Linked DNA regions of Tamandua tetradactyla. The protein of the gene in region 1 interacts with the protein of each later gene in a pairwise test. Links are inferred from orthologs where the notes say so. Each region holds a gene or a part of one and is shown on either strand. Other genes may lie near its edges. The genes, in order: MGAT5B, DMRT3, KRTAP26-1 and HOXA1.

Region 1 (7,763 bases):
AATATGCATCGGGGAGATAGCTCTCCCCACTAAACGGCCTCCACGTGGCTCGGGGTGCTGGCGTCTGTGTGGGGCTGCTTGTTCCCCGCACCGCGTGGCTGTTGATGATTTGTGCACGATGACGGTAAATGTTGTTATGCCATTATTTATGCCCTGCGCACCAGCAAGGACAGTGGCCTATTGCCTCTTAATGTGCTGTCTGCTGCTGCAGTCGGAGCACATTAAATGGGGATTTCAAACATGGTAAACTGCTTGTTTCTATCTTTCCTCTTGCCCCGCCCCCCCCACGCCCCCAGGACCAGTCTGTGAGCTCCACAAACAATAGTGAAAGGCTGGGAGTGGGGGTGGGTGGGTGTCAAGGCTCCAATGCCCAGGGGGCCCCTTGGAGCCAATGAGGGGGTGACAAAGGCCCCAGGAAACAACCCCCCCTTCCCGCCCCCAGCATGCACCCTAGAGTGGAGACTTCCACCCAGGGACAGAGAGGTGCTGTGCAGATGTGGTGGGGGAGAAGGCAGAGGGTGGGAGGGGAGAAGGGAGAGGGTGGGGGTGGGGGCTGCCCCCCCACCCCCCTGCCAAGCTCGTGGTTCCCTTTATAGCTCCAAAGAGCAAGGGGCTCGGGGCTCAGCATCTGATCCGCCCTTGACTTCAATGCTTGGATGAGCCCTCCAGCAGGAGAGCACCCCAATTCCAACTGCCCTGTTCCTCCCCCATCGGAGGTAATGGGAGATTTGTCTAGAACTGTGGTTCTCCACCCTAGCCAGTTACGTTGGGAGAACATGTGGCACTTAAAAAAAAAGTACCCTAACCCCACCTCAGATTCTGAATCAAAATAAGGACTCGTTTTTCGGTCCTGCAGGCGGGTCTGCTGAGTGGGCAGGGTTGAGGAGCACAGGTCTCTAGAGCAGGTCGTGGTTTGGATTCCCTAGAATTAGATTCTGAGCAAGGATTCAACAGCAAATAGTTTACTTGGGACATGTTCCCAGGAACATCGACAGGGGAGGAGACATGCAAGGGAAGGAAGCCAGTGGGGGGTGTTACAAGGCCCGTCAGGACCAACAGCTACTGGAGCTCCGACCCGCCAAGGAGCCCTGGGGGCCAGTGGGGAACAAGCTTCAGAGTTTCCCACTAGAGGAAACTCCGGGGGTGGAGCTGCTGATCCATCGCTTACCTCCTGGCACTTCGGTCTTGGCCGGGGCATTTTCTAGCATCTTCCCTTGGCCAGGAAAACACCTCAGACAGAGAGTCGAAGGTCTCCGTCATCTGCCTTTAGCATGCAGAGCTGAACGTAGACGGACTATGAGGAGGTCCCAGCGGCAGCTGCTACAGGCAGACAATAACAATAATCAATAATCATAACCACCTGGGATGGAGGCCTCTTAGGTGCCAGATAACGGGCTATTTATATGCATTCACCATTCTCAGTTCTCGTAACAACCCTACCAGGCAGCTACAATAAATAGCTTCAACGTACAATTGAGGGAGCCGAGACACAGAGGTTGTACTCAAGGTGGCATAATGTAGGGACTCAATTTTTCTCTAACGTCTGCAGCACAGTGGAGAGCAAGCAGGACCACTGATGCTGAACTTCACTGCAGACGGGGCTGAGAAAAGGGAAGCAGACTGAGTGGGACAGGCAGCTGGACAACTTGGCTCACAAAACACCATCCATTTGTCCTCGTTTTAACCTCACTGCTTGGCCCCAAGTCAAAAGGCAGAGGCGACCTTCCCCGTCCCCCCTTCAGAGCCCAGAGGTGTAGGGAGTACCCTCCCCATGGCCTTGTAGGGAGACCCCCATCTTCCACCTTCAGGGGAGGCTTCTTCTTTGGCCTCCAATGCTAGGTTTAAATGCAACCCCCAAGCTTATGGGAGAGAGACAAGCAACTGCAAGTTTCATTTCATTATTTATCTAGTTCTCATGGACGTGGCTTTGGCCTTGACATCCAGAGTTTGAATCATTGCCTAAGTGTTGGCAGAAGTCGGTGCCCCACCACTGGTGTGATTTAGAGGCACAGAGAAGAACCTGGCCTCAAATATCCCCTTCTCCAGCCTGCCACCACGTGTGAATTTCCCACCACCATTTCTCACTCTTCTGCATGAAGTTGCCGTCACTGTGTCCTTGTTACATGCAAATCTGTTACCCAGCTGGAGCAGCGCAATAATCTGCCAACATCAATTTACCTTTCCTTCTCACATTAGCAGACAGCAAGGCGATGAGATAATGGAACACAAAACAGGTGAATTTTGATGAAGAAGGAGCAGGGAAAGCAGGGAGCACATCCCCGGGAGTAAGAAATGGCTTGGGAGCAGGGCTGGCAGGTGGCAGGACAGACAGCAAAGGGGCTTTGCCTGGGGGTGAGACCTGAGTAGGAGGGGGGTGTGCGGTTCTCCTCTCCTTGGCCATCAGCAGCATCACTGTCTCAATGCACCGTTTTACCCTTGGCCAGAGGTGTGGCTGCCCAGCGTGGGGCACGGTGTGCTCCTGGCTAGGGAAGGCCTCCGGAAGGCTGCTAGGGCCTGCGAGCTGCTCCCTGCATATCTCTGCAACTGAGAAAGCATCTCCAAAGTCGAGAAATGGATGCTGAAAACCTAAGTTCTGCAGATTTTAGAGTCGGTGGCAACTTAGCGAATTTCTGGTCATTTTCAGTTTGTAACGGAGGCATCTGGCCGGGAGACTTGTGTGAGTGGAGCAGGCCGCGCTCTTCAGTGGGGGATCTGAGACCGGAACCCAAGTCCCCTCTCTGGGCTCTGCGGAAGGGCCCCAGCGCCACAGGGCCGAGTGTGTACTCAGACCCGGAAGAAAGGGGAGCCGCGGAGTTCCTGCCCAGGGAGGGACAGAGGATGGATCAGCGCTACCAAGCGAAATCCGACTCGGTGTGCAGCGGCGATTCCCGTGGGCGCAGCGGCAGGGAGGGAGGGCGCGCCGTAGCCCCGGGAGGAAAGGAGGGTCCCGGCCAGGGCCGACCTCATCCTGGCCGGGCAGGAGCCGAAGCAGCGCTCGGCCCTCGGAGCTAGTGGCGCCCGGGATGCTTCCGAAGGCGGGCTCCGGGGAGGTCGCACGGCCGGGGGAGACAGAGACCCTTGCACGGCGAGCCCCGCCTGCCCGCCCGCCCGCCTCCCGGGGCCCCGGGCTCCCGCCCCCCGGCAGGTGGACGCACGGCCGCGCGATGGCCACGAGGGGGCGCGGGCGCGCCGAGGAACGCGGCGGCCACTCCCGGGCCGCCCCAGCCGCGGCTCGGCTGCCTCCTCCGGGGAAACAATGCGGCGCCTCCGGGCGTAGCGCCGCGCGGGGCCGGACGCCGGACAGCGACCGCGGGCAGCCGAGCGGGCGGCGGCGGCGGGGCCGGGCGGACGCGGGGCGCCCTCGGCGAGCAGCATGGGCGCGGCGCGGCGCGGGGCCGGGGCGCGGTGCGGCCCGGAGGCGCGGAGACCCGGGGCTCGGGCAGGGGGCCGCTCCTAGCCGGCACCGAGGGCGCGGCGGCCGGGGATGCGAGAGCTCGCGGCGGGGAGCCCGTCTGCGCGCCGCGGCGCCGTCCCGCCCAGCGAGCGAGCCGGAGCAGGCAGACGCACGGCCGGCGGGGTGGGGGCGCGCCGCCTCCCGGCCCCCGAAATGTGAGGCGGGCAGGGCAGAGCGACGCGGAGACGGCCCGGTCGGATGCCCTCGCCGCCCTCCGGCAGCCGCCGCCTGCCCCTGCTCCTTCCTGCCCAGGCCGCGCCGACCCCGCGAGCCGCGGCCGCCGAGCCCCCGCGCCCCCAGCCCCGCTGCGAGCCGGCCTCAGGCCGGGCGCGGGTTCGCGGCCCAGACGCGGCGGGAGCTGGGACCCGGACGGCGCGTCCTCGCCCAGACGAGTTTGAACAATGATCACGGTCAACCCCGAGGGGAAGATAATGGTCAGAAGATGCCTGGTCACTCTGAGACCCTTTCGGTAAAGTTCTCTCCGGGTGGGCGCGGGGAGGTCGTTTTCCCCGCAGGGGTCGCGGGCTAAGGGTGGGCGAGGTCGCTCCCCGCGAGGGTGCACGTCCGGGCGGCAGAGGGGGCCGCCGCGCCCCGCCTTGGGGCAGGAGGAAGGTGGCGGTGGAGATGCCGCCGGCGGGGCTGGGGCTACGGGTGGAGGTGGGGTGCGCGTGGGGCGGGGTACCGGTCCCGAGTTGGTAGAGGGGGCAGAGGACTCTGGTATGCTGGTGGGAGCCGGGGCGCAAGGCACCCGGCCGATGACCAGGGCCCGGGCAGAATTCCAGCCAGCGCGCCCTTCCCTGCCCCTCGGGGCGCCGCCCCACCTCCCAGCCCGCCCCACCCCGACGGCTCAGCGCAAAGTTAGCGCGGCAGTGCTCGGGCGGCGCCGGGGGGCGCATCCCGCCGGCCGCCCCTAGATCCCCCACCCCTCCGCGTACTCCTCACAGCGGGATGCGGGCCTGCCCAAGACGGGAGGGTCCCCGAGATTAGGGTGAGGAAACTGGGGGGAGGGGGGAGGATTCGTCCCGCCCTTGGACAGTGGAGAGGCAGAGGGACGGCTGGAGCCGGACCGCGGCGGGGCGTGGAGGTCGCACTGAGGCAACACCTCTCCTCTCACCCGCCACCTCCGGGATTTCAGGCCTGGCAGGGTCGGGGCCGCACAGGACTCGCTGGGACTCTGCTGGTCCGACCCCCTGGGTTCCCCTGGGCTTGGCTGGGCAGGAACCGCTTCCTCCCCTCCCAGGCGTCCAGGAACCCGCCCGCGGTGGGGGTGGGGGTGTCGCCGAGGAGGGGGCATGGTGCCATGGGTGTCCGGGGCTGGGATAGGCACCCGGCCAGGCCACACCAGACTCTGGACAAGGCCACAGGTGGGACCCGGTGTGGGGAAGAGCTGCGAGTTCAGGGGAAGTGCCCAAGGCTTGGTCTGAGGGAAAGGCCGGGCTTGAGACCCTCTCTCCGTCCCTCTGACCCGAGACCCCCCAGCCCCTAGGCGGTTACTGGTCCCTCCCCTGCACTAGGCTGGGAGACACTGTGGCTCCCCCAGCTCACACCCCCCCCCCCAGAACAGCCTCGATGGGCTGTGCCTGTTCTGTGGGGCCGGGGAAACGGGCTCCGGGGGTCAGCAGGGGTCAGGCCAGGCCCACTGCCTGGAGCATGGGGGAGAACCGTAGAGTTGGGGGTCTCTGAGGGCAGACCACGGTGGGTGAATGAGGGGGGGTGTCAGGAGCCCCCAGCTAAGTTTCCCAGGGGATGCAGGGTGGGAACCCAGCCTCTTTCTGCACAGGGCCTTGCTCCTCCAGGGAAATCCTCAAGTCCCTGACCTGGCCAGGCCAGAAGAGGAGCCCTCGCCCCGCCTGCCCCCACCCCAGTGTCCTTCTGGCCGCGGAAAGCCCAGTCCAGCCCAGCCTCTGGCCAGAGTGGTGCCCGGATGTGTCCCGGCTCAGGTCCAGCACCATGGACAGCATCCACTACCCGGCGGGGCCTCCTGGCTCCCCTGTGGGTCCTGCCCCCCAAAGTTGGTTCTTTCTGGCTGTTACTTGAAGGCTGAATTGAGAGGTGGGGTTGCATAGGTCCTCCCACGCCCCACCTCCCGAGTTGTGCCGTTGTGTTACTTCACCTCAGAGTCTCCCCAGGCTGTTTGGAGACTTCCAGCCTTCAGTCGGGTCTTCCCATGGGGGCTGGGCCTCCAGTCCCATCACCCTCACTTGTTAATCCTCAAGGACAGGCTGGGGGTCCTGCTTCCCTAGTTTCCTCGGAGCCTCTGGCGGAGGCTTCTTGCTTCTGGAAAGGAGACATGGGTGGATGAGAACATTTTAACTTGAGTCTACAGTAAATGATCCCGTGGTTGTTTTTTTCTAGAGGTGGGGGGTCACTTTATCCCATGATTGGGGTCTTGCAGAGAGAAATGCAGATGAGATGTGTTTGGGGCAGTTTTCGGGCCCCTGTTAAGACAGGGCACCACCTGGCTGGGTTAAGGGCACAACCTGGCCTGGAGGCCAAGGTGTCACAGCAGGGCTTTGGACCCAGCAGCCCTTCAGCTGGGGATGCAGGGGGATGCAGAATAGGGAGCTCGAACTGGGAGGCATCTGTTCGCGTCCCCAGGCTGAGGGGCCAAATAGCCGGTTTCCCTGGGATCTCCTGGGTGTGTGACCCTCCCCCTATGCTGTCCCCCTTGGCTGTTGTCCCGAGACCTGCTTGACTTTATTTTGGGGACTGCAGGCCCTGAACCTCAGTCCCCAGCCTCAGTGGGGCTCGATGTGGTGGTCCCTTTGAGGGTGCCCGCCCCTCTACTGAATTATGTCTCCTCTGCCCCCCTGCCAGGGGCCGTCTCCCAGAGGAAGCCCTCAGTGCCATCTCTCCTTTGGGGTTCTGGCCCCTCTTTGATTTAACCTCCAGCATCTTCCTTTAAATATGGTTAGGGATTTTGTTGTGCTTTTATTTTCTTCAATTATGTGCTCTCTTTAATGGACAAATTTTAATTAAATACTGCTGTGCCAGTTTCAAATAATGAAGATTAAAATGCATAAAGCAAGTGTTGCGTAACAGTGTGAAGTGTGGGGCCTAGGGTGGGGAGAGGAGGTGGGAGGGCTGGAGGGCTCTGGCCCAACTTGGGGTCTCCCCCTGGTGAGCCTGGCTCCCCATGAGATGGGGTTCCTTTTTCTCACCTGGGTTGGGGGGGTTCTACAAGCTCATCGAGTCCTCTGATAGATTCAGGGTCCCAGAACTGCTGCCACCCCAGGCCATGCTGGGGAGCTCATTCCTCGTGTTTTAGGACCTAGGATTTCATATCCAGCCGTGGGACCTGGGGTGAACCTGGGACCTCACAGTGAAGCAGTGGGAAGCTTGTGGAGGGTTCTGGGTCTCATTTCCTGCTCTCTTCCTGGCACCTGGTAGAGACACCACTGTGTGTGGAAAGAATGAACCAGAGTTCACTTTTTGGCCAGCTCTTTTGCCCAGGTGACAGCGCACACACCTGCATGACACCCTGTGCACAGGTGGTATTGAGCCTGCCTTGGTCAATCAGTGGTGCAGATGGACAAGCTCCTGTGTGCTTTCCTGGCCAAAGATGTGTGTATGGTAGAGGCTAGGTGCAGTAGGGGGCCAGACGTCTCTGTTCTTGGAGCCCCCTTCGAGAACTGCTCAGAATAAGCTTAGGGAGGTGTTCAGGCCAGCTCATGACTGATGAAAGCCCCTGTGTATACAAGTGCTGGGGGTGGCCCAGGCAACTGATGGCCTCCAGGTAGGTCTCGTCTGGGCCAGTTACTTGTCCTCTGCTGGCATCAGACTCCACTGTTTCCATCTATTCCAGAGGATCTCAAACTTCAGCATGTAACAAACTCACCTAGAGTGCTTGTTAAAGACTGCTTGCCCTAATCCCAAGAGTATCTGATGTGAGTCTGGTGGGTGGGGTGGGGCAAGAATGCATTTCTAACAAGTTCCCAGGTGAAGCTGGCAATGCTGGTCTAGGAACCACACTTGGAGAACTGCTGCCTTTGATAGCCTCTCACTTAAGGCAAGAACTTTCCCCACCTATACCTAAGCGTGCCTCATTTGCTCCTTGTGGTTTTGCATGTGGTTTTTGCTCAGTTCCTTGGAGTTGAGCTTTCTTGATCTTAGGGTGATGAGGTCCCAGTAGCTCAGCTCCCTATTCTTTCATCCCTTGATCCATTGGTCCATCCTTCCATCCACCCTTCCATCCTTCCGCATGTACAGAGCCCCTCCCACGCAGGAGTGCTGTAAGCGTTGTACAGCTCATCTGCCCGTCTCACCCTCCTTGTTCCTCTCCACAGGCTTTTTGTCCTGGGCATTGGCT
Region 2 (7,253 bases), on another chromosome or scaffold:
TGGGTCCGGAATGGGTCTGAGAAGTCTGCACAGGCGGGAGCCACAGCAAACTAGAGCTTGGACAGTGTGAGAACGTAAAGGATGCAGCGGAGCCTGCCGGCTCTGCACGAGGCCCGCCGCGTCGCACGCGGTTCGGTGCCAACAACGTTTGCTCCCCAAGGTCTCGGCCGCTAGAGATCCAAGAGCAGTCGTCGTCGACTGCGATCCATCTCCCTGACTTCCAAAATTATGTGAGTCACGGGCTGCCTAGGACCTTCCTTTTACTCAGCGGCGCTCCCGGCCCCGCCAGGTGCAGCTTCTCTCGGCCTCGTGCTCTCCATCCCGCGCCCGGGATTGTGGCTTCGGGGATTGCATGCGGATGCGCACGAGTCTTCTCCCCAGTCAACCGAGGGAGAACAAGGACATTATTGTCACCCCAAGAAACCGATTGCTAGTCGCTCCGCTGCTTAGACATCCCCCCCCCCTTTTTTTAATTTGAAGCTGGCCAAAGAGCGATGCGGAAAGGCACAGTCACGGTGAGAACCGAATTCCCACGCAGAGAAAAGGGGGCACGTTTTTCTGCCTTTACGGAGTCTTTCTGCACACCCAGGCCCCAGCGTCTGCCTGCACCAGCGTCATCGTGGTTGCGCTTAAAACGGCAAAATAGTAACGGTGACCTCCCCCTCCATGAGAATCCAGCAAACAGAAAATTTCCCAGTGTATCATACATCCGGGATAATATGTCCTTTTGATTGTTACTTGGACTGGGGGGTGGAAAGCAGCTACCAGGACTCTAGATTTCGACTCAGAACATCCTCATTTCCTCAAGGGCACATGCATCCTGAGCTTTTAGAAGTACACTCTGTGTGTTAAGAGAAAGAATTATATACATACATTATCTTTCCCCATTTCGCTATTAATACCTGTCACAATTCTGTCCGGTTAATTGTGGTTTGAACACATACATACACACACACACACCAGAAGAGAGTGTGCAAGTAGATCCACTTTAGAGGTTACATTTGCTTGTAATCCTTCCTCCCTCCCTTTCCAATTTCTTTGATGATTTTTCCCATAAGCGTATAAGCTGCCCGGACTTAGTAAGAAGCAAGCCGCTCCTCCTAAATGTTATTCGGACCATATGCTTTCTACATTCATTCCCGCTCCTGCTTTTCTTCTCCTGCTAACTGCTAACACGTTATAGTCACCTTGAAATTTCCTCTGCTATTTTCCAATTAAAAGCTTAATAGCCCTGGAAACGGAGTTCATGTGGTGAAGTTTACCATAGCCCCTTGTTCTGAAAGGCTTTCTGCTGGGATCCCATTATGTGCTTGAATAAACCCTTTCTGCAAACAGAAATGGGACTCGGGGTTGTCAGGTGTTGGGTTACAATAGACTTTGAGGCAGGGGACGTTTTACCAACATAAATACAAACCTGTCCCTATAGGGAGATGTTGTCAAATACTGGGATATGGAAAACATTCCCATCAAATATGAGAAAAGGATTACTGCGCTATATCAAATGAGTATTTAGAACTCAGCCTCCGATGTGCACTGGAGTGAAACGGGGGCCCAGGACCAAATAATGCCCAACTGTTTGAATGGCAAAGGGACAGGGTGGATAGGTGACCGAGGGAGGAAAGGGGGTCGCCTTGGTAGTGGGAATAGCCCCCAAACCTGTTGCAGAGCTCTCTGCTGCTTTCTTTTTTTAAAAAAAATTCTTTATTCCCAAGTTCATTACATTCCCTCGTTTTTGCTGACCACTTGGAGGAAGTCGGGAGAAATTTGGCTTTGAAAAACTGCCCTTGAACCCCGGAGTCCCAGAGCCCCTGAGATTTCAGCGCGAAAGTTTCCAGATTCGGTGTCATTCGCGGCCCTCTAAATCTCCCATCACGTGAAGCGTCTGGCTGCCAGCACCTGGTTTCCCGCCCTAAGCCTGCGGTGCTGTGGGGTGACATATGCCTCGCGCTCCGAGAGTTTGAGAGGTTCCTTCCAGCAGTAGTGTTTCAGGGCTGGATGTTTTTCTAGCGAAGGTTGGAAGGAGTGGAGGGTGGCGCGAGAAAGCGAGGAGACGCAAGGCGGAGGAGTTGGTGCGCAAGGCGCCGGCGTGATCCGCGCCGGAGGTGCCAGGAGTCTCCCGAGACCCAAGAGCGCGGGCGCCACGCCGCCTCCTGCCCGCCAGGCCATCGGCTTGGCTTTGGGGGGGAGGGCTCCCGGGGCTGGGACTCCAAGGCAAGGTCTTCCTGCTCATGGCCCACTGGGACAGTCCCGGATGACTCCGGGACACCTCGGAAACGGGACGTATGAGACTGCGAAGGGCTTCAAAGGAAACGCTCACAACCGGGTTCCCTTGTACACTCCCTTCCTTGAATCTCCCTACCAGGCTGCTAGAGCGCCTGGCGGTGCTTTACTTGAATTCACAGCAAATGCGGAGGAAAGCTTTCGTATTTGCTGCTTGCTTCCAGGGTAGTGCAGAGAAAAGCGGCTTCCCCGAGGGGACAAGGGCCGTGGTGCACAGGAAGGGCCAAGCATTGCAGTGAAGTTCTGTAAGCTCCCGTCTGGCATTCGATTCTTCCAAGCTGGAGGTGAGCTCAGGTTCTGCTCCAAGGCCTTGCGGACCCAGGGCTCGGGGTCTTCCAACATCCCCCTTCGCACAGAACCGTTTTTGCTGCTCGGCTCCGACTGTATCCGCTTATTTTGCATTGTTTTGTTTTGGGGGTGGGTTGGCGATAGCTGTCCCAGTGCCTTTGTCGCGGTAGTCGGCCTTGGGTCAAACCGGATACTTGCAGATTAGAAACACGAAAATGAAGTCTAAGAAAAGTTGTATGCGGTCATCAGATGCAAAGGCCGCCTCCTGCCCACACCTAGAGACATTATGGGGAGCAGGGAGAGGTGGCTCAATCCCTTATCTATAATTAAATCACAATCTGTGGGATTTGGATTGAGTGAAGCTAGCTCTCGGTTGAAGGTTCACTGGCAGGTGGGGACAGAGGAGATCATACCCGGGAACTTTACCGGCGCTAAAGTGGCGCCTCTGTCCTTTCTCTGAAAGTTTTAGACCCGGCACTTAGCAAATCCCCCCACCCCCACCCCCACCCCCACCCCGCAAGCACCTCTCCGGCCTTTGCGGACACACGAGGTTTTTCTACTAAAACATGGCGGTGGGGAAGCAGTAGAGAAATAAAACCAGTGCCAGGTAGGGTGTGTGTGTTTTCCCCCTTTGAAACAGTCAGCAAAACGAGTTGTCATCCTTGGGCTGAAAGCTTTCTAATGCATTCATTTTTTTCTGCAACAAAAGACAAAATTCTGTTGCAAAAGGAAATCAAGAAAAAAACAAACTTCCCCGGACCAAAACCACCCCCCCCTCCACCCCGACTTGCTGGACCTGGCTCTCCCCAATTTATAACCCCATCGACCCGCGCCGGATCCCCGAGACACCCGCAAATGTTCCGGTAGACTCCGTCCCTCAGTCCTAGACGAGCCTGGTTTCCGTGGCCAAGCGTCTGGATAAAAAGCGGCCTCGGGCTGTATGCCGCCAAATCCGGCCTAGAGAGGAGGGGAGGGGGGAGCGAGGGGGAGCGGCCACCTCACTAGCCTACACGCACCCCCACCCTCGCCGGTCCTCCCCTTCCCCGCCCCACGTGCACTGCCGCGACTCGGAGCGCTGCAGTCCCTCCCTGCCGCGGGCTGGGGAAGCAGAGGGCTTGGAGGAGGGGGCTGGGAGCACCCCCGCGACAGTGGCCAGGCAGCAGGTGGCAAGGAAGGTGAAGTGCGGGGACCCGAGGGGCGAGAGCGGGAAGGAAGAAGGAAGGCGTGGGGTGGGGTGGAGTGGGGAGTGCAGGAGACAGCGACCCCGGGGGTGGGGGTGGCGGTGGGAGGGAGGAGGGGTGGAGGGAAGGCGACGGAGGAGGTGCTGGGCTGGGGAAGCGCACAAGGGCTCTGCAGACGTGCTGGCTCAGACCTTAACCAGAGCTCTTGCCGGCCCCTTGCAGCCGCCGCAGCGCCTCGGCAAGGGAGGACGCGCTGGCCGGGCTGCGCGCCCAAAGCAGCTGCCGGCGGAGACGAGGCTGGCGTGGGGATTGTGGCGGGGCACGAGCCGGTAGGCCGCAGCCGCGAAAACCGCGGGAGAGACTGCTGCCGCACCTCTGGCCGCCCCGAGGGCCCGTGGCCGCGGGGATCTGCGGGACCAAGGACCGCACGGAAGGGCGGCCCGGAGCGGAACCACTAACCCGGCCGTTTAGGAGCCCGGGGCATGAACGGCTACGGCTCCCCCTACCTGTACATGGGCGGCCCGGTGTCGCAGCCGCCGCGGGCGCCCCTGCAGCGCACGCCTAAGTGCGCGCGCTGCCGTAACCACGGAGTACTGTCCTGGCTCAAGGGCCACAAGCGCTACTGCCGCTTCAAGGACTGCACCTGTGAGAAGTGCATCCTCATCATCGAGCGGCAGCGAGTTATGGCGGCTCAAGTAGCGCTGCGTCGGCAGCAGGCCAACGAGAGCCTGGAGAGCCTCATCCCGGATTCGCTGCGGGCCCTGCCGGGGCCCCCGCCACCCGGGGACGCCGCCGCCGCCCCGCCGCCACCACCGACCTCGCAGTCTTCGCAGCCGCCGCCGCCGCGCCCCGCTGCTGAGCTGGCCGCGGCAGCCGCGCTGCGCTGGGCCACCGACCCCCAGCCCGGGGTGCTGCAGGCACAGCTCGTCAAGCCAGGTAAGAGCATCCGCGGTGCGGGACACCGAATGGGGCACGTGGGCATCTTCAGAGCGCCTCCTGTGGCTCTGCCAGGGAACCCCGGAGGCAAAGTTTGCGGGGGGGGGGGGGGGGGGTTGGCCTGATTGGGTCTTTCCCCGCAACCCATGCCAGGCGGGTTCTTACTCAACGGGCAGAAGCGGCCTTGAGTCTGGACCCCGCGCGGGTGGAACAGAGGCACCCGCGGGAAGAGCGCCTTCCGCCAGCTACACGACGAGACTGTGCCACTGTGCGTCCGGATAGCAACATGCCTGCCCTAGGTTAAAGGGGAAAATGTATGTAAATTTAGGCGAGTGAATGAAGAGGCCACGAACGACTGTATTACCCCACCCCCACCCCATCCCGCGCAAACGGCACTGTGCGTGCGGGTTTCCCCAGCGGCGGGTGTTTTAGAGGGTCTCGCATTTGGAACTTAGGACAGGTTGGTGTAAGGAAGGAGCGGAGGCTCAACGTTTGTCTGAATCCGAGCTGGGCTGAGACGAGCCCGGTGCTTGTCGGCCCAGGGGAATTGGAACAAGGACACAAATCTCCAATTTGGGGGAAATCGGAGCCTTTCTGGGGGCACACTATAGCCTCCAACCTCTTGAAAGATTTGGTGAAAGAAGCCTCTCAGGATTGATAACAAGATTCCAAAAGTCTTCTAAGCTGATAGGGGAGACAGAATCTAGTGCACCCAGGGTCAACTCCCTTTGCAGAACCACTCAGACAGAGTCTTTAATACTCTTCCGTAGGCCATCCTCAGCTGTCCTTGCAGTTCAGAGGAAAACCAAAAAACTACCTACAAATGAGGACGGCCCCCTTGGGAAAGCTCTTTCCCCAGTTCTAGGAGGGCCTGGTCATCAGGCTGCTAAGCTGAAGGTTTAGAGCAAAGACTGTGTCACCTCTTCTTCCATCTACTCCCCCTTTCCCTTCTTCTCTCCAGTGTCTTAGAGAGGGTTGTTCTTCCCTAGTGGTGTACAGATTCATGCCCCCCCCCCCCCCACTTCCTTCTGTTTCTCTCCTAATGGCCTCCTGACCTGGCAGGCACCAGTTGAGCCCCTTTCCTCCCTGGGAATTTCTAGCTTACTTTGCTGCCTAGCTCAACCGTTTGATTTTTTTGACTCCTGGAAATCAGTGGGCTTGTGTTTCCCTTTCACTGGAACAAAATATAGGAAGGAAAAAAGCCCATAGTCTCAGAGAGGGGATTGGGGGCATCACGGATGAATTAGGAAAGGGAAGGTCCATAACCTTCCTATCGGTAGAAGTGAGGTAGAGGCTGCTGCTTGCCCACATTTCCCCACCCCAACCCTCTGCTGAAGACCAGTCCCCTTGGCTTACTGGAGGAAGACTCTCAGGGGCACCGATTCCTGGGTGGAGCTGGGGAAATGAAAGTGTGTTGATAGGTGGTCTGGCAGGTACAGTTATGCTGTGCAGTCCTGAAGCTCTGAGGACAGCTTGTGTGAGGAGTAGAACTCAGTATTTTTAGGACAGAAGGGAGTTTGCTGAATAGAGATTTTGTAAGTATTTAATCCAAGATATGAGTAATATCCCCCACTTATCTCTCTTTTGCCTGTCTCAGCTCTTCATATTTATGGAGTTGCCTCAGAGGAATGGGAGGGGGGAGAAAGAGATTTTTTTTTTTTGGTTTGTTTTTTTCTCTCTTAGGTTAGATTAGAACAACTAACTTAGAGAGTTTAGTCTCTCCTCTAGAAGTTGATCTGTGCCAGTAACTTTTTTATTTCCAGTTTCCCTGGCTGCATTTCCCCCAGGATCAGAGCCTGAGACCCAGTTAATGGCAGAGGTAGCATTTGCAGTGGCTGCTGCTATGTGCCTGAAACTAGTCATTGGGTCTTGGGGGTCCTTGCCCAAGGGGGGATTCCTTTCATATCCTATGCTGTTCATACCATCCTTTGGGATAGCCAAAGGTCATGATGTCTAGAGTCACAAAACCAAGAACAACTCCCAGATGGGGGCAGTGAGTGCAGAAAGGAGAGTGGAGTAGCAACTCTGGCAGAAGGATATATAGCTTTGGGGAATAAAACAGGGGGACTAATTTCAGCTGGACAAACCAGACCCGGGTCTCTCCTTCTGCCAAGTATTCAGGCCTGAGCTCTTCAAATTGAAAGCAAGTAATTGCAAGGGAGGATAGGGCTTACCATAAGGAGAGACCAGAGTGACGTCTTTTGTGGGGGAAGTGAACCTTCAGGAACCTACAGCTCAGTTTCCAGGTGGTCACGCTGCATACCTTGTACATCCATTTAAACAACTTTTGCTTTCTTCTTTCTATTGGCTCCACTCCATAATTCTACTTTATTATTTTTTTAAAGCTGAACCACCAATCCAGTGGTAGAGGGGAGAGCAGGAAAATAACAGCTCATTCTTTTCCTTAGCAAGGCTTTGTAAGGAGAAAGTCCATTTGACATTTAAATTTAGAGAAAACTACTTGATTGAGAGGGCCTGTTGCTAAAGATATAATATGCATTATGTATTTCTGCATTTCTTATTATATACTTGTATGTAACATATCTTGTATGTAACATATCATGCATG
Region 3 (5,919 bases), on another chromosome or scaffold:
TTCAAATCATGTAGGAATCATAGCTTCCACCCTCAAGAAGATTATAATATAAAAAATATCAGTTGAATTAGACTATACTCTGATCATTCACCTAGAACTTACATCTCTGGCCAGATAATTATACAATCTTCCCAACTGATAATAATTCAATTATTTTGCACAAATTCAATGATTTCACAATAGCACCAAATGAAGGTGCTATTATTAGGTCACTTGGTTCCTCTTTATTGTGCCTTAGCCTGCAATGGTCTGATTTCGAAAAATTGGTTGTTTCCTCTAGGCCAAGCTAAAAAGAACATTAATCAGAGATATTGATTTGCACAGCAGGAAAATTGATTAACTATATGAAGTTCTCCTGAACTTCATTCTATACTTATGTTCTTTTACATTCCCTGCAAGTTGACTTTCCTCACAGAAGGAAAGAAAGGTTTATAAAGAAGATTAATGGCTTGATTAAGTACAGGTCAATTTTCATTTGTTAAGGAAAAGCCAAGTTCTATTTGTGAATGTTGCATTTGTCAACAAATAATTAAGTATTTGCCAGATTTCCCAATATATGCTGGGAACAATGATAATACTTACTTTGTTTAGAAATGTAATAAGGAGACGTAAGTTAATACATTCGTGGTGGTTTGAAACTGTACGTACCACAGGACAACATGTTTTTAAAGTTAATCCATTCCTGTGGTTATGTACCCATTGTAAGTAGGATCTCTTGATGAGGCTGCTTCAGTTAAGATGTGTCCTACCTCATTCAGGATGGGTCTTAATCCTATTGCTGGGGTCCTTTATATAAACAGAATGAATACAGAAAGAAAGAAGAAAGCCACAGAAGCAAGAAGGTGAAGACAATGAAACCTATAAGAGAAGGGAGAGACTAGTAGATGCTGCCATGTGCCTTGACATGTGACACTGGACCAAAGGATCAAAGGCAGCTGATCTTTGGGAAGAGAGCATCACCTTGATAATGCTTTGATTTGGACATTTTTATCAGCCTCAAAACCACAAGCTAATTTCCATTGTTAAAAGTCAATCCATTTTATGACATCTGCTTTCACTAGCTTAGATAACTAAAGCAATATCTAAAACATTTAGAATAGTGTCTAGGGTATAATAAGGATGCAGTAAATAGTGGCTAATAAGAGCCCATAATATAGTTGGGAAAAATAAGACATATATAGAAAACAAAAGGTTTTCCTTGCAAGCCAAGGGGTGTGTGTGTGTGTGTGTGTGTGTGTGTGTGTGTGTGTGTGTATGCGTATTAGGCAAATCTAACTATAAATATTTAAAGGCTGGAGAAAAATTGGTAGGAATGGTCTGGAAGGAATTTGTAAAGAATAGGGCAATTTAACTGGGGTTGAATAATGGAAAATACTAAAGAATGATTTTTCCAAGTGAGAAGCCAATGACAAGTGAACAGATAATGTGAAACAAGGGTAATGTGGAGTAATTAATCGCATGGGCCAACAAGTCAAAAGGCAGAAAAGGGTCTCTACTGGGAAGCAAAGGAAGGACCACCAAGTGTTTGGGCAAATTCTCTTTGGCTAAATGAAAGTCAACAACATTTTTCTGTATAAGAGTCATCTGATGAAATTTATTTGAGGGGGTAATAATCTAAATCCAATGTTCAGGATAAATATAAGGCAATAGGTATAGGAGCCAATGATGCCAACAAGAAATCTATGTATTTAACAAAGATGCAAATCTCTGAACTTGAGTGATGGCAGTGAAAGGGAGGAAAATGGATGAAAAAACAAAATTAATTTTATGTAGCATTGAGGGAAAGAAACATTAAAATAGGTACTTCCTCATTTCGATCTGTGCTGTATTTTGGAGTAAGGCTGAATGTCACAAAATATTGCTTAATCTCAGCATTCTCTTCTTAAAATCCATTTTAGAATAAACATGCCTGCAGAACAAAATGTCAATAACTTTTCAGATGATTAAATCTTTCAGCATATGAATACAAATTTAGTTACTACAACTCCTGCCCAATAACCCTCAATTGAAATCACTGGGCTTTCATTTTTTCTGTCTTTAAAACTTGACCATAGCCTGATGTGTCCTTCCCTTCCCCAAACCACTGGTCATTTCTTCCCATTTTTCAAAATTAATTTCAAATGCTGAATTTTAGATAAAGCCAGTTTATTATGTCTGCTCTTCTCTGAATCTCACTAATAGAAAGTGGTATACAGTCATGCATTGTGTATTTGTTTTACCACACCTACAGGATTAGGTGTGTCTCAAGAGCAGAAGCCAATTGTATCCTGTTATCATCTCAGAATCTATCATAATGTTTTGCACATATTTGATACTCAATAAACATTTGGTGAATGAATGTATGAGATGCCTGTCATTTATTATCATATCCTTATTGTTGCAATTCTCTGAGTCTTCTTTACCTATAAGAGAGAAAAATTTGAAATTCTACCTCTAGAGTAAGAGAAGTAAAAATCCTTGGCTCCTTGAAGAAAAACTAACAGTGTAGGTATAAATGGGGGAGCAACACAGGATACCCAATTCCTCATAGTATACCTGGGTCCTTGCATCAGAAAAAGAGCCCCCAAACTGTAGTTTATAGAAGCCTTTTAAGGCTTCTCCTGATAAGGCTTCTAATGTGATGCCCAAATAAGCCCTTTCATTTTAGTGGCACAGCTACTCTTAAATAACACCAGTTCAATATATGTTACCTTAAGGTGTAGTTTACTTTTGGGACACCATATTTTCTAAAAATCTATAGATATTTTTATAGGATTACCTCTCAATACCAGAAAAAAATTAAATAGCCTCATGGTAGTACTCTAAAGCAATTGAACCCAAGGGCAGTTGTCTTCAGAATGGCAGACGGATGTCAAAGCAAGATAGCAATAACAAACAAAATATTCTTTTGTAGTGTCTGATGGTCACATTAACTTTTTAACTATTTCATTATATCTAATCCTCTAAATGTAATTTGAAAATTGATGTTAATATATTCATTTCCATACAAATGATATTGGTAGTGACTAGGGTTCAGAAGAATTATGAAAATTGTCCAGGACCTCACAGATAGTAGATGATCATATTAGTGCACTTTGCATAATACTATTTTGGAAAGAGGGAGGAAAATTGTTTGGGGGCTCAAGGAGCATTATTTTCAGATATTTTTCTTAATATCAATTGCCATACTTTCTAAATTCACGTTTTCTCATATAAACACTTGGAATAGTAAAAATACTGTTCAGAATTATGAGGATAAAGTGACATTACACCACAATGGTCTATCACATAGTAGGACTCAGCAAATGCTAGTTACCTTGCCTCTTTTTCGACACCCATTTATTGGATGGAGAAACATTAACATATATACTACATATACACTGCATATGCATACAGATCCCCATATGTGGGTGGACTAATGATACAGATGCTAGGTACTTACTTATAATATAGAATAGCAGACATAAAGCATCAACACACAGTTTTCATAAACATTCAGTTAAGATGGCTTTACCCACTACCAATGCCATTCAGTTGATGCATTCAGGATTTCACAAGACTCAGCCAGCCGTGAGCACCTCTTTTGAAATGAATTTCACAACTAATGTAAGGAATAAAACAGAATCTATGTCTTAATCATTATATCTTATTTTTTTTTTTTTTTTTAAAGGAAAGACAGAGAGAAGGAAGGAAGGATAGAAGGAAGGAAGGAAGGAAGAAAGGGAAACATCTTTTAAACATTTTCTTGTTTTATTGTATTCTGTTTCTCCGTTTTTGTTACATGGGCTGGGGCCGGGAATCGAACCGAGGTCCTCCGGCATAGCAGGCAAGCACTTTGCCCGCTGAGCCACCGCGGCCCGCCATTATATCTTATTTTGACCAAGAACGATAATTTCCAGTTAGAATATGAGTATACCATGAAATAAATAAGGCCTTTCATAGTCATGAAAAATGGCATGTCATCCAATTTTCTTTAAGCAGTCTGTTTATTTGCTTTTGTTCATAGTAGAATCCATAATTTTAACTAAGCCCAACTACTATCATCTATATTAAAGAATATCTCAAACAAAAACCAAGCTTCCATCTTAACTCAATTTATTTATTGAAGTGAATAAATGAGAACATTTTGTGATAAAAATGTGTGTGGGAAGCCACCTTCTACTAGTGTTCTCAAATAAAACAAAGCACAAATTTGGCACATAGAGTTTTTCCATATTATACAAGTTTTATACTCTTTCTACCCCAAGCCATATGGGTTATAGAATTAACCACTTTCTTTTTCAACTTACTTGCTTCCATGCTCCTTACTTTGGACAATTTCAGAAAAGTATAAAATTTCTCCTAAGAGTGAACAATTTGCCACAGATTCAGAGAAGTTTGCTACAAGAGTTAAAGACAATTCCAAGAGAGGAATTTAAGAATGTTTGTGCAATGGTGGTTATAACTGGAAAAAAATGCATGGGCTTCTAAAGTGTCTGTTTTGTTTGGATAATTTAAGGAGACATTCTATTAATATCCAGCCACATGGGTTTATATCCACATTTCATTGACAGAAGGCATTAAAAAGGACATCTAGTTTTATGTGGTCTCTACTTCCTGTGCTATAATAAAGAGTTCTGATGCAGCCTCATACAACAAGGAAGAAGGGAGTCTGTATACAGAACCACCACCTTCTAGCTATATATAAAGGATCAAGCCTAAGAGAGGTATAATCAAACTCAGGCACTTCTTTCCATTGAACCACAGCCTGCTCTTCATACCTCACGATGGCTTGCCACAACTACTGCTCTAGAAACTACAACATGGGATCATTCAGAAATTCTTGCCACATTCCTATTACCTCCTCCACTGCCCACTGTTCTACTAATGTGAGATCTGGAGATGTCCTCTGCTTACCCAGTAGCTGTCAAGGCAGTATCTGGCTCCTGGACAACTTCCAAGAGACATGTAGTGAACCAACCAAAGAAACCTACGGAGAACCAACCAGTTGCCAGCCAGGCATCTGTGTTACCAATAACCGTGGAACTTCTTGCTGCTCTTCCACTGCATACCATGTGCCCAGATCCTGCCAACGAACCAGCTTTCTTCCTACATCTTCCCACAACCCCAGTTCCTGCCTTCCGGTAACCTTTAGACCTCTGAACTACGTACCCAGCAGCTGTCATCCACTCAAACCTCTTCTCTACAGCTTCCAGCCCGTAAGCTGTGCTCCCAGTGGCTATAGACCTTTAAATTGTTTATCTAGCAGCTGCCGTCCCCTGAGCCTCCTCACCTATGGATGCCGACCCTTAGGTTGTTTGACCAGTGGTCCTCCACCACTTAGTGTTGTGTCCAGCAGCCTCAGACCTCTGCATCTTCTCTCCCATGGTTGTCAACCTTTGACTCATGTGGTCAGCACTTGTTGTCCATCCTACTGAGCGCTGGAACGGTAACTTCCTTGTTCCAGACAATAATCCTGCTGAGGAACCAGAACAAACATTCATACTTCATGGACTTTTTGCTTCTTTCCTAGTAGAAACTGCTTTTTCTTGGTTTTACTGTGTCCTATATAATACCAGTTGCTTCTTTCAGATTTTTAATTGTTTTCATTTCTTCATGACCTCAAATAATTGGTTTACAAGCTCTTCATTGCCACTCATGTGTGAGAAGAGTTTATTTGCCTTATATTGTAATAAAGTAGATTCAGTCAGAATTAAGAATCTGGTTCATCAATGTGTCTTTGTTGCTTTATCTGACAAAGAAATTACCAATCTCACCTGCTTGCAATCTGAATGCATAGGAGAGATGATATTCAAACCATATGTTCATACTTGGAAGAAGGGGTATAGCTTGGTGGCTTATTCCACAAGCTGCTCTCTAGACCTGTGATCCTAGATATTCTTAAGAAATGTACATACCTGCTGTTGGAAGTTATTATGAAAGGGCAAAATTAGGAATGAT
Region 4 (7,453 bases), on another chromosome or scaffold:
TCTTCACTTTCTTTTTATTTTTGTGTTACATTAGTATGCATTGTCATGCATATTTTTTGGTAGGATAAATTCTCCTTTGCTACAAATAGCTTTCATATCCCCCCCCAATCCCTTTCTTTTTCTTCTTTTAGTCTAACTCAGTAAATAAAATTCTGGTCACAATTTATCTTCTTTTTCAATTTTAATATATTTATAAAGGGGGTATAGTCAAAATTTTCATTAGATAGCAAAAACAACAACAAAAGCCAGAAAATGGCTAGGGCTTCTAAGAAGTGTTTTTTCTTTCTTTTCTTTTCTTTTTTTCTTTTTAAGGGAATAGATTTGGTTTTCAGATTTGAGGTTCAAGCCATAGATTTGAATTGGTAATAGAAGCAGAATTGGGCCGCGATGAGTTGGGCCAAGTCGAAGCTTTTGAAACTGAAGAAATAAAGTGCCTACAGAAACCTCCCACTCAGGAATGTGGAGTTTCTTGAACAAGCTACTAGTCTCTAGGTCATTAAGCAAGTTATCAACATTTCATTTATTTATACACGTTTGTTTCAAACATCTATGTTCTCCCCTACCCCCACAAGTTCCCGCATATTTTCAGTGTGGTTGATTAGTCTTCCAGATGTGGATGAGTCCAGCAAACAGACCTAAAAAATAGAGAAAAACAAAAATAAAACAGTTGTTGCTAGCTGGAAAATGCACTTCATTTTTTTCCAATCTTCTGGTCCAGTCACTCGTGGGGTCTTTTTTATCAGGGTCAGAAAAATCAATATTTCATTCTTAAATCAGTTTACATTGCAAATAATGGATCATCAAAGCTTTGAAGTCAGGTTAGGAAGTTGAGATTTAAAAAGGAGTGTGTTTGTCATCCTAGGTTATAAATTAACCCCGTTTTTAGAAAGAGAAAAAAAAGCACTTTAAAATGAAATATCAATAAAACGTGATCTAGGGTATGTTATTGGGTTGTTCTGTCCCCCCCCTCCTTATGTCTCCCATGTTTATTTTTCTCTTTCTGAGAAATGTTCTGATGGCAACTTACTTAGCGTGAGAAAATGCAGTGTGTAAGCAACATGTGTGCGGGGCGGGTTGATTTACGAAGCCGGCTCTTAACTGTAGCGGCTTGGAAGTTATAATGAAATACCGATCTTTCTCCATGGGTTTGCTCCCCACCTTCCCCTTCTTCTTCAACCCTCTAAGTCCCAACAGCGGCATAGGCATTTGTGTGTGTGTGTGGGGAGGCGGGGGGTTCGTGGGACCGCGGCCGATTTCCGGCCCCTGGCGCGGAGCGAAGCAGGGCAGCCCGGACCAGGCCAGGGTTGCGGGGCTGCTGGGTGCGATTTGTCCTGCACTCATAAATCAAACGCTTTCTATGAATGAGAATGTCATCAAAGAGATCAATTGCAGGAACACATGCACAAATAAAAATCCTCTTACGTAGTTGCCGGGGATTCCCGTCCGAACGCATTAAGTTAGAAGGCGTTTAGTCATAATTCATTTTTATTGCTCTTTTAAAACAACAGCTTGGCTGAGCCGCAGATGCCATGAACAGCTCCGGGACTCGGCGGCGTTTTGTCTCCTCCTGGCTCCTTCCCTTTCTAGTAGAAAAGCTTTGAAAGAGGCGCTTTGAGCCCAGCGAGCCGCTTGCAGGCGATTATTTTAATCGTGACCAAGCTAGACTTTTCATCCTTTTGCTCTGGGCGTTTAGACACTTTAGCTTGTGTGGTGGGGCGCGGGCCTGTGTGCCCAGACCGCCAAGCATCTCCTTCACCGACTAATCGGCCCCAGAATTTCTTAGTGGGGGGTGGGGTGGGGTGGGGGTGGGATTGGGAAGGAATCGAACTACGGAAGCCTACCGGCTCGAGTCAGAGGAGGCTGCCTTTGTGAGCAGCGCGGGAGAGCTGCGGTCCCGGACGCTCTCAGGCGGAGCCCGCAAGGTTGCGAGAGCCGGGCCTGCCGCTAGCTGTGCGCGGAGACAGACGGGAGCCGGCCCGAGTGCCTGCGGACCTGTGTGTTGTGCGAGTGCATGCTTTTGACACCAAGAAAACCTCCCCACCCAGGCTGTCTTAGTAAGGAACCCAGGAGAGAAGGGAGGTGGAGGGAGAGGAGTGCGGAGGCCGGGAGCTAGCAGAGGAGGCGACAAGGCTGAGGCCGGTGGCGGCTTTGTGGAGGACGCCCTGCGGCCCAGGGGGGTCGCGCAAACCCCGGCGGAGGAGGCCAACAAAGGTATAGGAATAAGGCAAGGGGGGAGAACGTACGGATGAGCTTTGGCTCCGAGAGTAGATCACCCACACTGCCAGCTCATACTCTCCACCTCAGCCCCACCCCCACAGGATCCCTTCTCCTCCTATTCCGCTGCAGGCCTGGCGCTCCCAAGGAAGCCGCTTCCAGGCGAGTCGTCTTGCCTTTTCCCTTCTCCAGAAGCTGGAACTGAGGCAGTAGTGACCTTTTCTGTACGTGCTCCCACTTAAACCAAGTTTGAGGATGGGTCAAAGTTCACAGAAAAATACCATTCCAAAGGAAGTGTTTGGGGAACCCATTTTTTTTTTTTTTTTGCTGCTGCTGAGGGAGTCCAGCGTTAAAGGTCTGCAAGGGTTTTCCCTTCTGAGATGACAGATTTGGGGGGAGACTTTATATTTGGAGAACAGAACACAGGGGCCTGAAAGGGTGCCTAACACATTTGAAATATGCCTGCCTCAAGCAAAACATTGTTGTTCTAACTGGGGGAGGGGAGGTAGGCAAGAAGTAGGAATCCCAAACCCACATACAGTCCTCATAATAATTTTCATCTGTCAGATTCAATGTTGTAAACACCATCAGAGTAAAATCTATAGAACAGTGGCTGCAAAGCTTCTTGGCTGATTTCTGCTACCTAAGCATGCATCAATTCTCTGCCTCTGGACTTTTCTCTCTACAAGCCCGTGGTTGACTCGAAACCTAATAGTAAATAGCAATTAACGACACCATCAGTATCAGGGTAGGATAAGTGTGATGAAGACCAGGACCTCTGGCTTGGGATGATGCTCAGATTTGCACGTGCCTCTCTGGGGAAACACTTGACTCACATAGGCAGCTACACAGTAAGTTGGAAAGGGGAGGAGGTATCGTTGGGGAAGAGGAAAGTGTCTAGTGTCCACCATCAGCCATCTGTCCACCACCCCTCCCACCTGCTAGCCCCCACCCCCACTCCAGACATGCAATGCAACCGAATCTAGTGTGTGTGTGTGTGTGTGTGTGTGTGTGTGTGTGTGTATGGGGGGGGGTGTTGGAGGAGGATCTCCTACTCGTAAATCCCCTCTCCAGAAAGAGAGAAACGAAGGAGAGAGGAGAGCTGAGCACACTTTGTTGGAGCTGTGGTCTGGCCCTTCGAGGCCCCACCCGGAGCGCGCAGGCTCCTGGGTCCTGGGGAGCCGGCAGATGGTCTGCAGCGCGCGGTTCGGCCCCTACGCAGGCCACGTCCGCTAGCGTCATCTCTCTCCCCCGCCTCCTACCCCTCAAAATCCAGCGGCCGAGTTGCTCGGGATCCCGAAGGGCTCCCGGAGCAAAGCTGAGTGGGAAGGAGAAAGGGGCGGGAACGAGGAGAGAGAGAGAGAGAGGGTGGAGAAGAGTCCGGCCATCCCAGGCCTTTGCTGACAAGCTCTGCTGCAAGGGCTCACCCGCCCCGGGGCGTCGAATTACATAAGCTCCTCATTGCCATGCTAATGGCAACGGTGTAGGGCGGAAAAGGAGCATCAGAGACCCTCCTAGGAAAAGGGAATTTTCTTTTCTTGAGCTCGCCGCTCCACACCCATCCGGGATTCCTCTCAGTCAGTCCTCCGCGCACTTCCTTCTCGGCTCGGAGAGCTGGTGGCCCAGCCTCGCTCTCCACCACCATTTTCTGCATTCCTTACCGCCCCAGGGTCCCGGAGCACGGACAGTGCAGTAAAAGCGATCCGGGAAACTGGGGCTTACGCAGGTCTTGTTTCCTACCCTTTCTGTTCCGCCCAGACAGTTCCGGCCGCTTTATCCCTCACCCGAGAGAGCCGAGAGCCCTCTTCCCTTCTCACCTTTCGCCAGTTCATCTTTCTGTACACAGCTGAGAGGGGAACGCTGGTGGGGGATGCCCTCAGCCCCTACTTCCCGCAGGGGCGGGGGCCGAGCGGAGTTGAGCGCGCGTGGAAAGCAGCCTCTCCTCCCCTTCGCCCCAGTGCTCGGAATCAGTCGTAGCAGCCGCCGCAGCTACTGCCACGGCCTGGGCTGCCTAGGGGGGCGACTGCGCGTCACCTAGACGGAGGAGCGCCGGGGATTTAAATGCCACTGAAACAGTGATCCATCACCGCGGGAGTCGGCAAACTTTCGCAGGGGGCTCAGCGATTGGCTGGCACAGTCACGTGCCCCTCCCTAGAGCCCTCCGCCCTCCGCCCCCTGTCTTGCGCACTGTACATTCATATCATTTTTCTTCTTCGACCCCATGGAGGAAGTGAGAAAGTTGGCACGGTCACCCAGGGCTTCGCAGGACCTGGTCACTCAGTGACAGATGGACAATGCAAGAATGAGCTCCTTCCTGGAATACCCCATTCTCAGCGGAGGCGACTCCGGGACCTGCTCAGCGCTAGCCTACCCTTCCGACCATGGGATTACAACTTTCCAGTCGTGCGCAGTCAGTGCCAACAGCTGCGGCGGCGACGACCGCTTCCTAGTGGGGAGGGGTGTGCAGATCAGCCCTCCCCCCCACCATCACCTCCACCATCACCACTCCCAGCCAGCCACATACCAGACTCCTGGGAATCTGGGGGTGTCCTACTCCCACTCGAGTTGTGGCCCAGGCTACGGCGCTCAGAACTTCGGCGCGCCTTACAGTCCCTACGCGTTAAATCAGGAAGCAGAAGTAAGTGGTGGGTACCCCCCGTGCGCTCCCGCTGTTTACTCTGGAAATCTCTCATCTCCCATGGTCCAGCATCACCACCACCACCAGGGTTATGCCGGGGGCACGGTGGGCTCGCCTCAGTACATCCATCACTCATATGGACAAGAGCATCAGAACCTGGCCCTGGCCACGTATAATAACTCCTTGTCCCCTCTCCACGCCAGCCAAGAAGCCTGTCGCTCTCCTGCGTCGGAGACATCTTCTCCAGCGCAGACCTTTGACTGGATGAAAGTCAAAAGAAACCCTCCCAAAACAGGTCAGTCCCCGTCTACTGCTGGCCGGTGGATGCTCTTTGATGATACTGGAAGAAGCTGGTATGCTTAGTTTGCAAGGAAAATTCCTAATGATTTTTTTTTTTAAGTTCTTGCTTCCGACAGATGTTGTAGGGTATGGGGAGATTGCCCAGATGTTTTGGGGCAAAGAAGGCTCTGAGACACGTGTTTCCAAGTGGGCTGAGTTTTAGAGGTTTTGTAAGTAGGAAGGGGAGGGGATGTATTTTGCTAATATCTCTAGGCTTCATTAATCACTCGTCTGACCACGTCTTTACACTTCATCACTCACCCTTCGTAGCCTGATTTGTGCTGAGAAGTTCTTGATCTCCCTTTGCTCTAAAGCCTGTAGGGGATAAATGTCCCTCATATCAATTTTTAAATTTTTACCTTTTTCCCTCACCAATTCCTACTCTGTCTCCAGGAAAAGTTGGAGAATATGGCTATGTGGGTCAACCCAATGCGGTGCGCACCAACTTCACCACCAAGCAACTGACGGAGCTGGAGAAGGAGTTCCACTTCAACAAGTATCTGACGCGTGCCCGCAGGGTGGAGATCGCTGCGTCCCTGCAGCTCAACGAGACCCAGGTGAAGATCTGGTTCCAGAACCGCCGAATGAAGCAGAAGAAGCGAGAGAAGGAAGGGCTTCTGCCCATCTCTCCGGCTACTCCGCCCGTAAGCGATGAAAAGGCCGAGGAATCCTCAGAGAAGTCCAGCTCCTCTCCCTGCGTTCCCTCCCCAGGATCTTCTACCTCAGACACCCTGACCACCTCTCACTGAGGAGGCCACCCCAGCCCAAGGCTCCACAGTCCAGGCTTCTCAGGCTGGGACTTCTTACCCAAAGCACATTCTTAGCTTATCTTCCTTTCCATTGACAGTCTCTCTCTTCCTTTCTGATCCTATCTGGGAACTCCTGGCCGAGTTAATGTGTTTCCAGAGAGTTCTGGACCAGACCTGGTGGGAGATTTACTCCTTAATCCAGATTGGGTGCCAGCATCAATTTTCTGATGGTCCCTACAACCCCTTCCTGCCTTTTAAGGGTATTTCCAGGAACCTACTATTCCTTTCCAGATGTCCTTTGGAGAATAGACCCCTTTGCCAGCAGAAACATATCAGGGAGAGGCTTCTCATCTTTTATCAATCTGTATCTTTACAGTTGTCCCCTACTCTGATCTTAAAAGTAGAATAGAAAGACAGGAAAGAGTTCAGGAGCTCATGAAGAATAGATGCACTATGAGTGTGTTTACACAATTCATTCATTCCTTAATTTAATTCAGTTTCATGTATAAGTTGGCTTTGTAAATACTTTGACTGAGAGATTTATCTTTATACAGATTTTCTAGGAAAGTTTAGTTTAATTGACTCAAACAGGGTGGGCAAACTCTCATGGCTCCTACAATTTTATATGTGATTATAGGTGAAAGAATAAATTTCCTTATTGAAACCCAATCGGATGCCTCAGAGGATAGCCTTGATTTGTTCTTTCAGTGAGCTAAGAAGGCCTGTAGAGCACAAGGTTCACAAACCTGGCTTCCTGTATTAAATTTTTCCCCATCCCCTTTTTTCTTGCTTCTCTGGTTACTTTCCATTAAAAATTTGTGCTGGATTATTCTGAACCTAAAGGCATTATTCAAACCAGCTTCTTCCTTCCACAGTTACTGTAGCTGGATATGATGTATTTTCAGCTCAATTGTTAATGTGATGGATGGCACAATGAATGTATATTTTGTGTGATTGGTGAATAGTCTTTTGCATGTCGCACAATGTTTTGATGTCTCTGAAGTACCACACTGAGTTCTATCAGTTATCCTTGGTGAGCCTTTGATTTCCCATTTTCTGTACAATCATGACTAGCTCTGAGATCCTGGAGTGATGTGATCCGGAGCAGAGTTTACGGGTCTTAAGATGTCTGTAATAAATATATTCAATTTCAGGTATGCTTAAATGTCAGTGTATTTGACTGGGATACAATTTGTTGATTCCTACGAAGTTGTCTATTTCATTTGGGGATGGGGAGAAAGAATGATATGAATTTTCCAAGTGGGCCTTTTCTTGCATAAAAGTGAATACCCTCCATTTTCATGTAGCTGAAACTTCTTCACGACTTTAATTTCACCAGATTCTGGTATGACACCTTACCAATGTTATTTAATAGCTTGATTTTCTTTAAAATAACAACAGCTTCTTTATAATAATTGACATTTATAATGGAAAAAATGAACGGTGAGGAAATTTATGAAGAAGAGCTATTGCTGAAACAATCATGGATACTTCCTGGGTCAAGTGCTAACCT

Evidence for each region.
Region 2: the proteins of MGAT5B (region 1) and DMRT3 interact in a two-hybrid assay, tested with the Homo sapiens proteins (2 studies listed by BioGRID). The two-hybrid records come from large-scale screens. The link is inferred for Tamandua tetradactyla from reciprocal best matches to the Homo sapiens genes MGAT5B and DMRT3.
Region 3: the proteins of MGAT5B (region 1) and KRTAP26-1 interact in a two-hybrid assay, tested with the Homo sapiens proteins (3 studies listed by BioGRID and IntAct). The two-hybrid records come from large-scale screens. The link is inferred for Tamandua tetradactyla from reciprocal best matches to the Homo sapiens genes MGAT5B and KRTAP26-1.
Region 4: the proteins of MGAT5B (region 1) and HOXA1 interact in a two-hybrid assay, tested with the Homo sapiens proteins (2 studies listed by BioGRID). The two-hybrid records come from large-scale screens. The link is inferred for Tamandua tetradactyla from reciprocal best matches to the Homo sapiens genes MGAT5B and HOXA1.

The regions. Positions count from the first base shown.
Region 1 is NC_135332.1:17,795,698-17,803,460, forward strand, and holds the start of MGAT5B (alpha-1,6-mannosylglycoprotein 6-beta-N-acetylglucosaminyltransferase B), read left to right. Parts: upstream 1-4,754; coding exon 4,755-4,847; intron 4,848-5,013; coding exon 5,014-5,117; intron 5,118-7,740; coding exon 7,741-7,763. UniProt on the Homo sapiens protein: Glycosyltransferase that acts on alpha-linked mannose of N-glycans and O-mannosyl glycans.
Region 2 is NC_135328.1:97,227,331-97,234,583, reverse strand, and holds the start of DMRT3 (doublesex- and mab-3-related transcription factor 3), read left to right. Parts: upstream 1-4,231; coding exon 4,232-4,685; intron 4,686-7,253. UniProt on the Homo sapiens protein: Probable transcription factor that plays a role in configuring the spinal circuits controlling stride in vertebrates.
Region 3 is NC_135336.1:89,679,484-89,685,402, reverse strand, and holds KRTAP26-1 (keratin-associated protein 26-1), read left to right. Parts: upstream 1-4,745; coding exon 4,746-5,396; downstream 5,397-5,919. UniProt on the Homo sapiens protein: In the hair cortex, hair keratin intermediate filaments are embedded in an interfilamentous matrix, consisting of hair keratin-associated proteins (KRTAP), which are essential for the formation of a rigid and resistant hair shaft through their extensive disulfide bond cross-linking with abundant cysteine residues of hair keratins.
Region 4 is NC_135327.1:96,059,776-96,067,228, forward strand, and holds HOXA1 (homeobox protein Hox-A1), read left to right. Parts: upstream 1-4,443; 5' UTR 4,444-4,501; coding exon 4,502-5,147; intron 5,148-5,584; coding exon 5,585-5,940; 3' UTR 5,941-7,116; downstream 7,117-7,453. UniProt on the Homo sapiens protein: Sequence-specific transcription factor. Regulates multiple developmental processes including brainstem, inner and outer ear, abducens nerve and cardiovascular development and morphogenesis as well as cognition and behavior.